Linked DNA regions of Macaca fascicularis. The protein of the gene in region 1 purifies or fractionates together with the protein of each later gene. This does not show direct contact. Links are inferred from orthologs where the notes say so. Each region holds a gene or a part of one and is shown on either strand. Other genes may lie near its edges.

Region 1 (3,815 bases):
CATCCTCACACGTAGGAGTGATAATGGTCATTCACATTGGTAGAGCTCTTTAGAACTTTTCAAAACCATTTTACGTTGGTGAATTCATTTCATTGACAACCCTGGGGGTGGGGAGTGGGAGTGGTTAGGGAAACAGGGCAGGAGTTACCATCCCTGCTTACAGAGAGGGAAACTACTGTCCAAAGAGGTCCTGTGACCTGGTCCTCACGGCTCAGCTTGTAAGTAACAAGAGGCGGAATTAGAGCTCAGATCCCCAGACACCAGTTTAGAGATCTTTTCATTATGTGGCTCTTCTCCAACTCTGCGGCTTGGCAGTTCTCCAACTATAGGAAACACAATTGACCAAGATCCCAGCTGCACCCTCAAACCCACTGCTGTGATTGCAGCGAAGCTGCCCTACCCCGTGGCTGGCACAGCAGAAATACTAAGGCAGGCCAATTCCTGGGAGCCGTGGGACTCCTCTGATGGCTGACTTTGGCTCCAGAACCCCTTAGGGCCTTGCTGAAAATTCCTTAGGCTGCATGGCACCCAGGATGCTTCCACCCAACCTTCCCTCCCTCCCTCATTCACATGGGGTCAGACTTGCAACACGGTCTGCTGGTTCGCCCGGCCTTCCCTGGCTCCCTCCCCATTTCCTCTCATGGGCATTTCTTCTAATAAAATCTGCAGACCATCTTGGGTCTAATCCCGTCTCCAGTCTGCTTCTTGGAGGACCCAGACTAACATGACTCTGCCCTGTATAATACAAATAATTCTTTTCTGTGTTTGTGATTTTTAGCTTTACATTTACTTTAAATCATGTTTCAATTAAAGACACACCTTCACATCTAGAATCATTTTGTTAGTATTTCTAAGTGTGATGGAAAGGTTCAGAGCTCAGGGGTGGATATGGAGATCCAGGGAGGCTTCCTGTAGGAAGTGGCCTGTGTAGTGCTTCAAGGGCCAGGCTGCCTGGTCCAGGCCATGTTGCAGCTGACCATCCATCTGCAGTGTACCGCCGGAAGCACCAGGAGCTGCAAGCCATGCAGATGGAGCTGCAGAGCCCTGAGTACAAGCTGAGTAAGCTCCGCACCTCAACCATCATGACCGACTACAACCCCAACTACTGCTTTGCTGGCAAGACCTCCTCCATCAGTGACCTGAAGGAGGTGCCGCGGAAAAACATCACCCTCATTCGGTGAGCGCCCTGCTGCCATCCTGGGAGGAGAGGGGCTGCAGTCTAGGGGCTGAATGTTATCACAGCATCACAGACTCCTCCAGCCACAAAAGGTCAGCAGAGCCCTCCCTATGGGCACCCCCAGCCCTCCTAGGAGGACAAACCTTGACATTCAGGGCCATGTGTGTTGGTTTACACTAACTCCTATATGTTTATGGAGTTTATACAATGAGAGGAGAACCAGGGCTCTCCTCAAAATTCATTGAGGTATGCTCTCTCCAAGGCTTCCTGGCCCTGCTTCCCTCCAGGGGAGCAGGGGAGCAAAGGGCCCCTCCTCTGAGCATCTAGAGCAACTGTACCTTTCTCTGTCACTCACTGGCAATACTCCCCAGCCAGTACCCCCCGGCGATATGTCTGTCCTAAAGGAGCATGAGCCTCCCCGGGGAAAAGCCATGGTTCATACACCCCTGTGTCCCTGGCAAATATCAGACTCAGTAACTACTGACTGAATGAATAAACATTTGACCATTGTCATGAGTCCCTGGTTGGAATCCTTCTTACTGCATAGCACAGCCGTGTTGAGGGTGTTACTCCTGAGTGTGTACGTTATCCCCTGCCTCTTGTGTTTGTCCACTAAATGTGAGCCCCGGGCTCAGGAGCCCCAGCTGCCTCATTACTGTGGCCTGTTTGACTCTGTCTCATCTTGTATTCTCCTTTGCACAGGGGTCTGGGCCATGGCGCCTTTGGGGAGGTGTATGAAGGCCAGGTGTCCGGAGTGCCCAACGACCCAAGCCCCCTGCAAGTGGCTGTGAAGGTAAGAAGTGGCTCACTCTTGAGCCTGCCCTTGGCTTGCAGACTCTGTAGGCTGCGGCTGTCAGCTCACAGCCTCCTCCTCCTCCCCACCTTCCCCTTCTCTGCCCAGACGCTGCCTGAGGTGTGCTCAGAACAGGACGAACTGGATTTCCTCATGGAAGCCCTGATCATCAGGTAAGGCCACAGAGAGACACCCTCACCCCAAATCCCCACTGCCCCAAAGAACCTGGAGAGGTTTCTAACACATCGACGTCTCCAAGGGAAATGGTGTTGTCCCCAGCATGTCCCCTTTTCTCCAGTAGGAGACTCCCAAACATTCTAGACACTTCTTACCAGACTGGAACAACCCCTGGTGGTTGTTTCAGAAACAAAATCTGTGTGGCCTAATAATCCCACCGATGTCACGGTCTGCAACCAGTTCCCTGCTGTTCTCCATTGGTTCTTCTTCCCTCACTTTTTCTTAAGAAATGGAACATGCTAGACTTTGACAGTACAAGATACAATCTCCCTCCCAAACCCTTCACCAATCCCAGTAAATGTGCTCCGAATATGATGGAAGGCCACCCCATCCTAGGCTCCCATCAGCAGGGATGAGTCTCAGCTGGCTGTACCTTTTGACTTGAGGTTCCAGGGTCTGTATTTAAGCTGAGAGTCTCAGTGCCTGTGGCTCCTGAGGGCATCCACAGTGGCAGCAGATCCCCTCAAGGAGGAGGCAGATGTTTGACCTCAAGATCAGGTGGAGGCTCATGGCCCCCATCACACCAGGAAGTCTCTGAACGTCCTGACAGGTGGGGGCAGATTGGGATGTCCCCTTGGTGGAAGTGGCAGGGGTAACAAGGCCAGGCAGTGTGAGCGATATGGCTGTGAGGTCTGGAGTCACAGGAGAACACACAAAATAACATTTATTTTCTGATGATACATGTAATTCCTGATTATGAATAAAACTTGGCAAGTATGAGATTATATTGAAGAAGACCCAAATCGCTCCATCTCACTACTTGGTGGTAACTAACCATTATATGTTGGTGTCTAATCACCCAGTCTTTCAACACTTGGGGGGGGCGTGTACACGTATGTGTATGCACACACATGCATGCACATGTTGGCCCATGTGGAATTCCTAGGCCCCACTGCCTGTGTGTTCTAAAGGGATCATGTTAACAAGAAAACCCAAGTCTTGGTCCCCTCCATGAGGAATCCACAGGAAACTGATGGACTTATGAGGCCATCCCCTTTTCCTGGCTCTGTTTCACATGCCGTCACCTGGCAAGTCTCACCCAGTCTCTCTTAGAAGCAGTTGTTTTGCTTCACCTTCTGCCTGAGACCTTCCTGGGAGAAATCGACCATGAATTCTAGTGCCCAGTCCGTGCACCAGTATCTGAGAAAGACACCGTCCTGCCCCCGAGACACTTTCTCACCCAAGTGCCTGAGCAACATCCTCGCACCTCCAGCCCCTCTCCTGCAAACGGAACTCCTGTGGAGCCTGCTCTGGTTCTTCCCACCTGCTCACCAGCGAGATTCTGGGTTTAGGCTCAGCCCGGGACCCCTGCTGCCCCTATTTACAGAATGCATTTATACATTGTAGCTGCTGAAAATGTAACTTTGTATCCTGTTCCCCCCAATTTAACATTCCCCCAGACTCAGCTAATTTTGGTTATACCCCACTCTGCTCTGCAGCAAATTCAACCACCAGAACATCGTTCGCTGCATCGGGGTGAGCCTGCAGGCCCTGCCCCGGTTCATCCTACTGGAGCTCATGGCAGGAGGAGACCTCAAGTCCTTCCTCCGAGAGACCCGCCCTCGCCCGGTGAGTGAGAACCAGTCTTTGCTGCAGTTGTTGTGCCAA
Region 2 (3,351 bases), on another chromosome or scaffold:
ACCGGAACCGGAACTCGGCGCGGCCACCACCACTAAGCGCGGCGGGGAGGGGGAGCAAGGACCGGACGAGACCCCACGCCAGAAAACAGGCGGCAGGCGAGGGGCGAGGCTTACCACTGCACCACGCGAGTGGAGAGGGTCGTTTCCGCTAGCGGCGGCCCACACCAGCTCACCGAGGGGCGGCGGCGCGCGGCCCTGCTGCCGGACCGTACCATCCCGGGCGGTGGAGCCACCGCCGAGGGGCGCGCGCGAGCCGAGGGCGCGCCTGGGAGGTCTAGGTAGTCCCGGGGGCCGGCGTTGCGGCGCCGGGGAGTCCCGGTTCTTGCCTGGACTCACCCGGAGCCAGCCCCCGCCCCCCGGACACAACATCTTCATGGGGACGGTGGCGCGACACGCCCCACTCTGCCGCGCCCAAACTCCGCAGACCCCCCAGCTTCCCTCAGCGGCCGCGACCTCCCGCCTCCCCGCTGTGCAGCTAAGGGCCCGCGGCGTACACAATAGGCTTCCCAGGATTAAGAGGCAGAGGTAGAAGAAATACGGACTTTAATGAAGAGTTTTCCCTTTGGTATAAGTGAGACCCGTGGAAACATCCAAACAACAGCAAAAGGAGTCCAGGATGAAAACGGTCAACTGTCCCTTATCCACAAGGCCAAAAGAGGGGCCCAGGCTGGGCCGGGCCTGTAGAAGGTACTCAGGAACTGCAGGTTTTGCGTTTCCCCTCCATGAAACTGACAGGCATTCGAGCTGACTTCTGCCTCTCAGTCTCGCGGTAAGAGACCCAAGTTTTTCTAGTCCTAGATGGAAATAAATTTCATCTGCCTCAGGTCTGGTATAAAAGGTGCGATCCCAGTTACCTCACAGGCCTGGGCGAGGAAAATGCCAACAGCTGTAAAAGGGCTTGGAAAAGTCAAAAAGGTGATGTATAAATGTAATAATTGATTACCATTTTGTGCTCGAGAATAAGCCATGGAAAACAAAATAGGAAAGTAAGTCTACAGCCCTAAAATATATGCATATAAAACTTTAAAAGAATGCAGTTCCAACTCTACAGATGGTATTTGGGGATTGTCTACTGCTTTAAGAGTCTCAATGCCCTTTTTCCCACCTCCACAAAATCCACCTGGGAGAGTGAACTGTACAAGAGGCCCAAATTCAGTCACCCCTACCCCACCCTGCCAGAAAGGGAGGCAGGGCAGAGGCTCCAGGAAGGGCTACACTTTGGCTGTAGAGTACAATAGGCATGCAACATGGGAGAGGGCAGGCCTTATGAAATGTATATACAGACCCCTTGGGGTGAGGGGCCCCGGCCAGGAGGCACTGAGCAAGGGAGGGATCCATCTCCCCCCTGGCCGGGAGGGGGGCTCTGGGGCAATCTCTAAGGGTTGCATATCCCCAGGGAGAGGGGACAGCTGCCACTCCTGCCTCTGTTATCCCAAACCAAACCGGAAAGAGTGCTGAGCAAGAAGACAGGTCCCAGAAGCCAAGAAGGTGTTGGCATCCCTGTCATTGAACTCAGGGGCCCAAGAACTCTGCATAAAATATCATCAGACCTAAGAGATGGTCAAAGGCACAAAGTTTTAAACATGGTGGGGTGGGGGTGTTGAGAAGGGTCTGGGATACCCTGAAGCACAGAAGTGTGATTTGTTCCCCCTTGCCCAAAAGGGTGACTGTTCCACTGGGCCTGTCACCACAGGACATTTTCCATGACAACCACTCACTTTCTTGGGGAAGGGGCATCAGGTTGGCACAGGAAAGGCCCAGGTGAAGGGCCACTCTGTACATTAATACTTTGGTGATCAATGTTTGGGGAGAGGCAGGATTCTCCCCCAGGCTTCTGACTCAAACCCTCACTCAGCTGGATATGAAACCCAGAGTCCACACTACTCCCAGCTCTGACACAAGGCCAAGCCCACAGAACACTCCCAAATGAGGTCCCAAGAGTTAGGGAATAGGGTGGAAAGGACTGGAGGGCATCTTCTGGAAGAGAGCTCTGGGGCAGATCACAGTTTCCGCTCCACAGGTTGCTGTAGACACAGTTCGCTGCCCGCAGAGATGATGGGCAAGTGATTGTCCATATGGTAGCTGATGAGGTGACTGACACTCTCAAAGCGGTGATCCTTAGTCCGAACCTGGGAGGGTGGGAAGGAAGAAGGTCAATTCAGGTGAAGAGTCAAATAAGACCTCAGCCTCCAAGGTGGAAGAGGGTAAAACACACAAGAGGCTTGAAGAAGGAGAAAAAAATGGTAGGGGAGAGTGTGGCCTATCAGTCCTGATAATTGAGGTTTCTCTAGAAAGAGACAGTTGCAGGAATAGACAGGTCAGTGAAGTGGGAAAAGGCAAAGGTGACATCAGCCCTGAAAGAGTGAAGCTGAGAGCTATATACCCTTTTCTTGATGTGGAAAAAGTTGGCATGTCTCAGAAGAGTATACACAGTGCAAAAAAAAGATGTGGAGGCTGGGCATGGTGGCTCATGCCTGCAATCCCAGCACTCTGGGAGGCTAAGGGAGGCGGATCACTTGAGCCCAGGAGTTCAAGAACAGCTTGAGCAACATGGCGAAACCCCATCTCAACAACAACAACAAAAATACAAAAATTAGCCGGGTATGCCACCACACCCCAGCCTGGGTGACAAAGCAAAACCCTATCTCAAAAAAAAAAGAAAAGAAAAAGAGGAAAGGAGGCTGAGATTGCTGTAGAAAACAGACAAAAGTTTGTTTGTTTCTAGACAGGGTCTCTGTCACCCAGGCTAGAGTGCAATGGTGCAGTCATGGCTCACTGTAACCTCAAACTCCTGGGCTCAAGCAATCATCAGGCCTCAGCCTCCTGGGTAGGTAGGACTACAGGCATGTGTCACCATTCCTGACTAATTTTTTGGTTTTTTTTATTTTTCTAGAGATAAGGTCTTGCTATGTTGCCTAGGCTGGTCTAGAACTCCTGGCCTCAAGCAATCCTCCCACCTCAGCTTCCCAAAATCTTGCGATTACAGGCATGAGCCACCACACCTGGCTAAACAAGGAAAGTTTTGAAGAACAGTGAGGCAGTGCAGATAAGAGAAAGCACAGTGGTCTGACTCCTGAGTCTGAGGAGCTGGAGAAGCCCTTGGATCTTCTTACGAAAGGAAACTTGCAGTGTCTAGCCTTTAACCATGTGACATTGGGCCTCACAACCTCTTCGGGGTGGTTTCCTTATTTGTAAAAATGGGCACAGATGAGATGACTGCCTTCTAGCTCTGATAAGGCTTGGGGATTTGAGGACGGGCCAGGACTGTATTTGTTTTGTTTTGTTTTTTTAGACAATCTCACTCTGTCACCCAGGCTGGAGTGCAGTGGTGCGATCTCAGCTCATTGCAAC

Evidence for each region.
Region 2: the proteins of ALK (region 1) and SHC1 purify together in Homo sapiens (affinity purification with mass spectrometry; 3 studies listed by BioGRID and IntAct, with this or other methods). This does not show direct contact. The link is inferred for Macaca fascicularis from reciprocal best matches to the Homo sapiens genes ALK and SHC1.

What each region holds. Positions count from the first base shown.
Region 1 is NC_088387.1:92,988,599-92,992,413, forward strand, and holds part of ALK (ALK tyrosine kinase receptor), read left to right. Parts: intron 1-990; coding exon 991-1,177; intron 1,178-1,879; coding exon 1,880-1,970; intron 1,971-2,078; coding exon 2,079-2,143; intron 2,144-3,646; coding exon 3,647-3,776; intron 3,777-3,815. UniProt on the Homo sapiens protein: Neuronal receptor tyrosine kinase that is essentially and transiently expressed in specific regions of the central and peripheral nervous systems and plays an important role in the genesis and differentiation of the nervous system.
Region 2 is NC_088375.1:106,181,864-106,185,214, reverse strand, and holds the end of SHC1 (SHC-transforming protein 1), read right to left. Parts: intron 2,130-3,351; coding exon 2,001-2,129; 3' UTR 527-2,000; downstream 1-526. UniProt on the Homo sapiens protein: Signaling adapter that couples activated growth factor receptors to signaling pathways. Participates in a signaling cascade initiated by activated KIT and KITLG/SCF.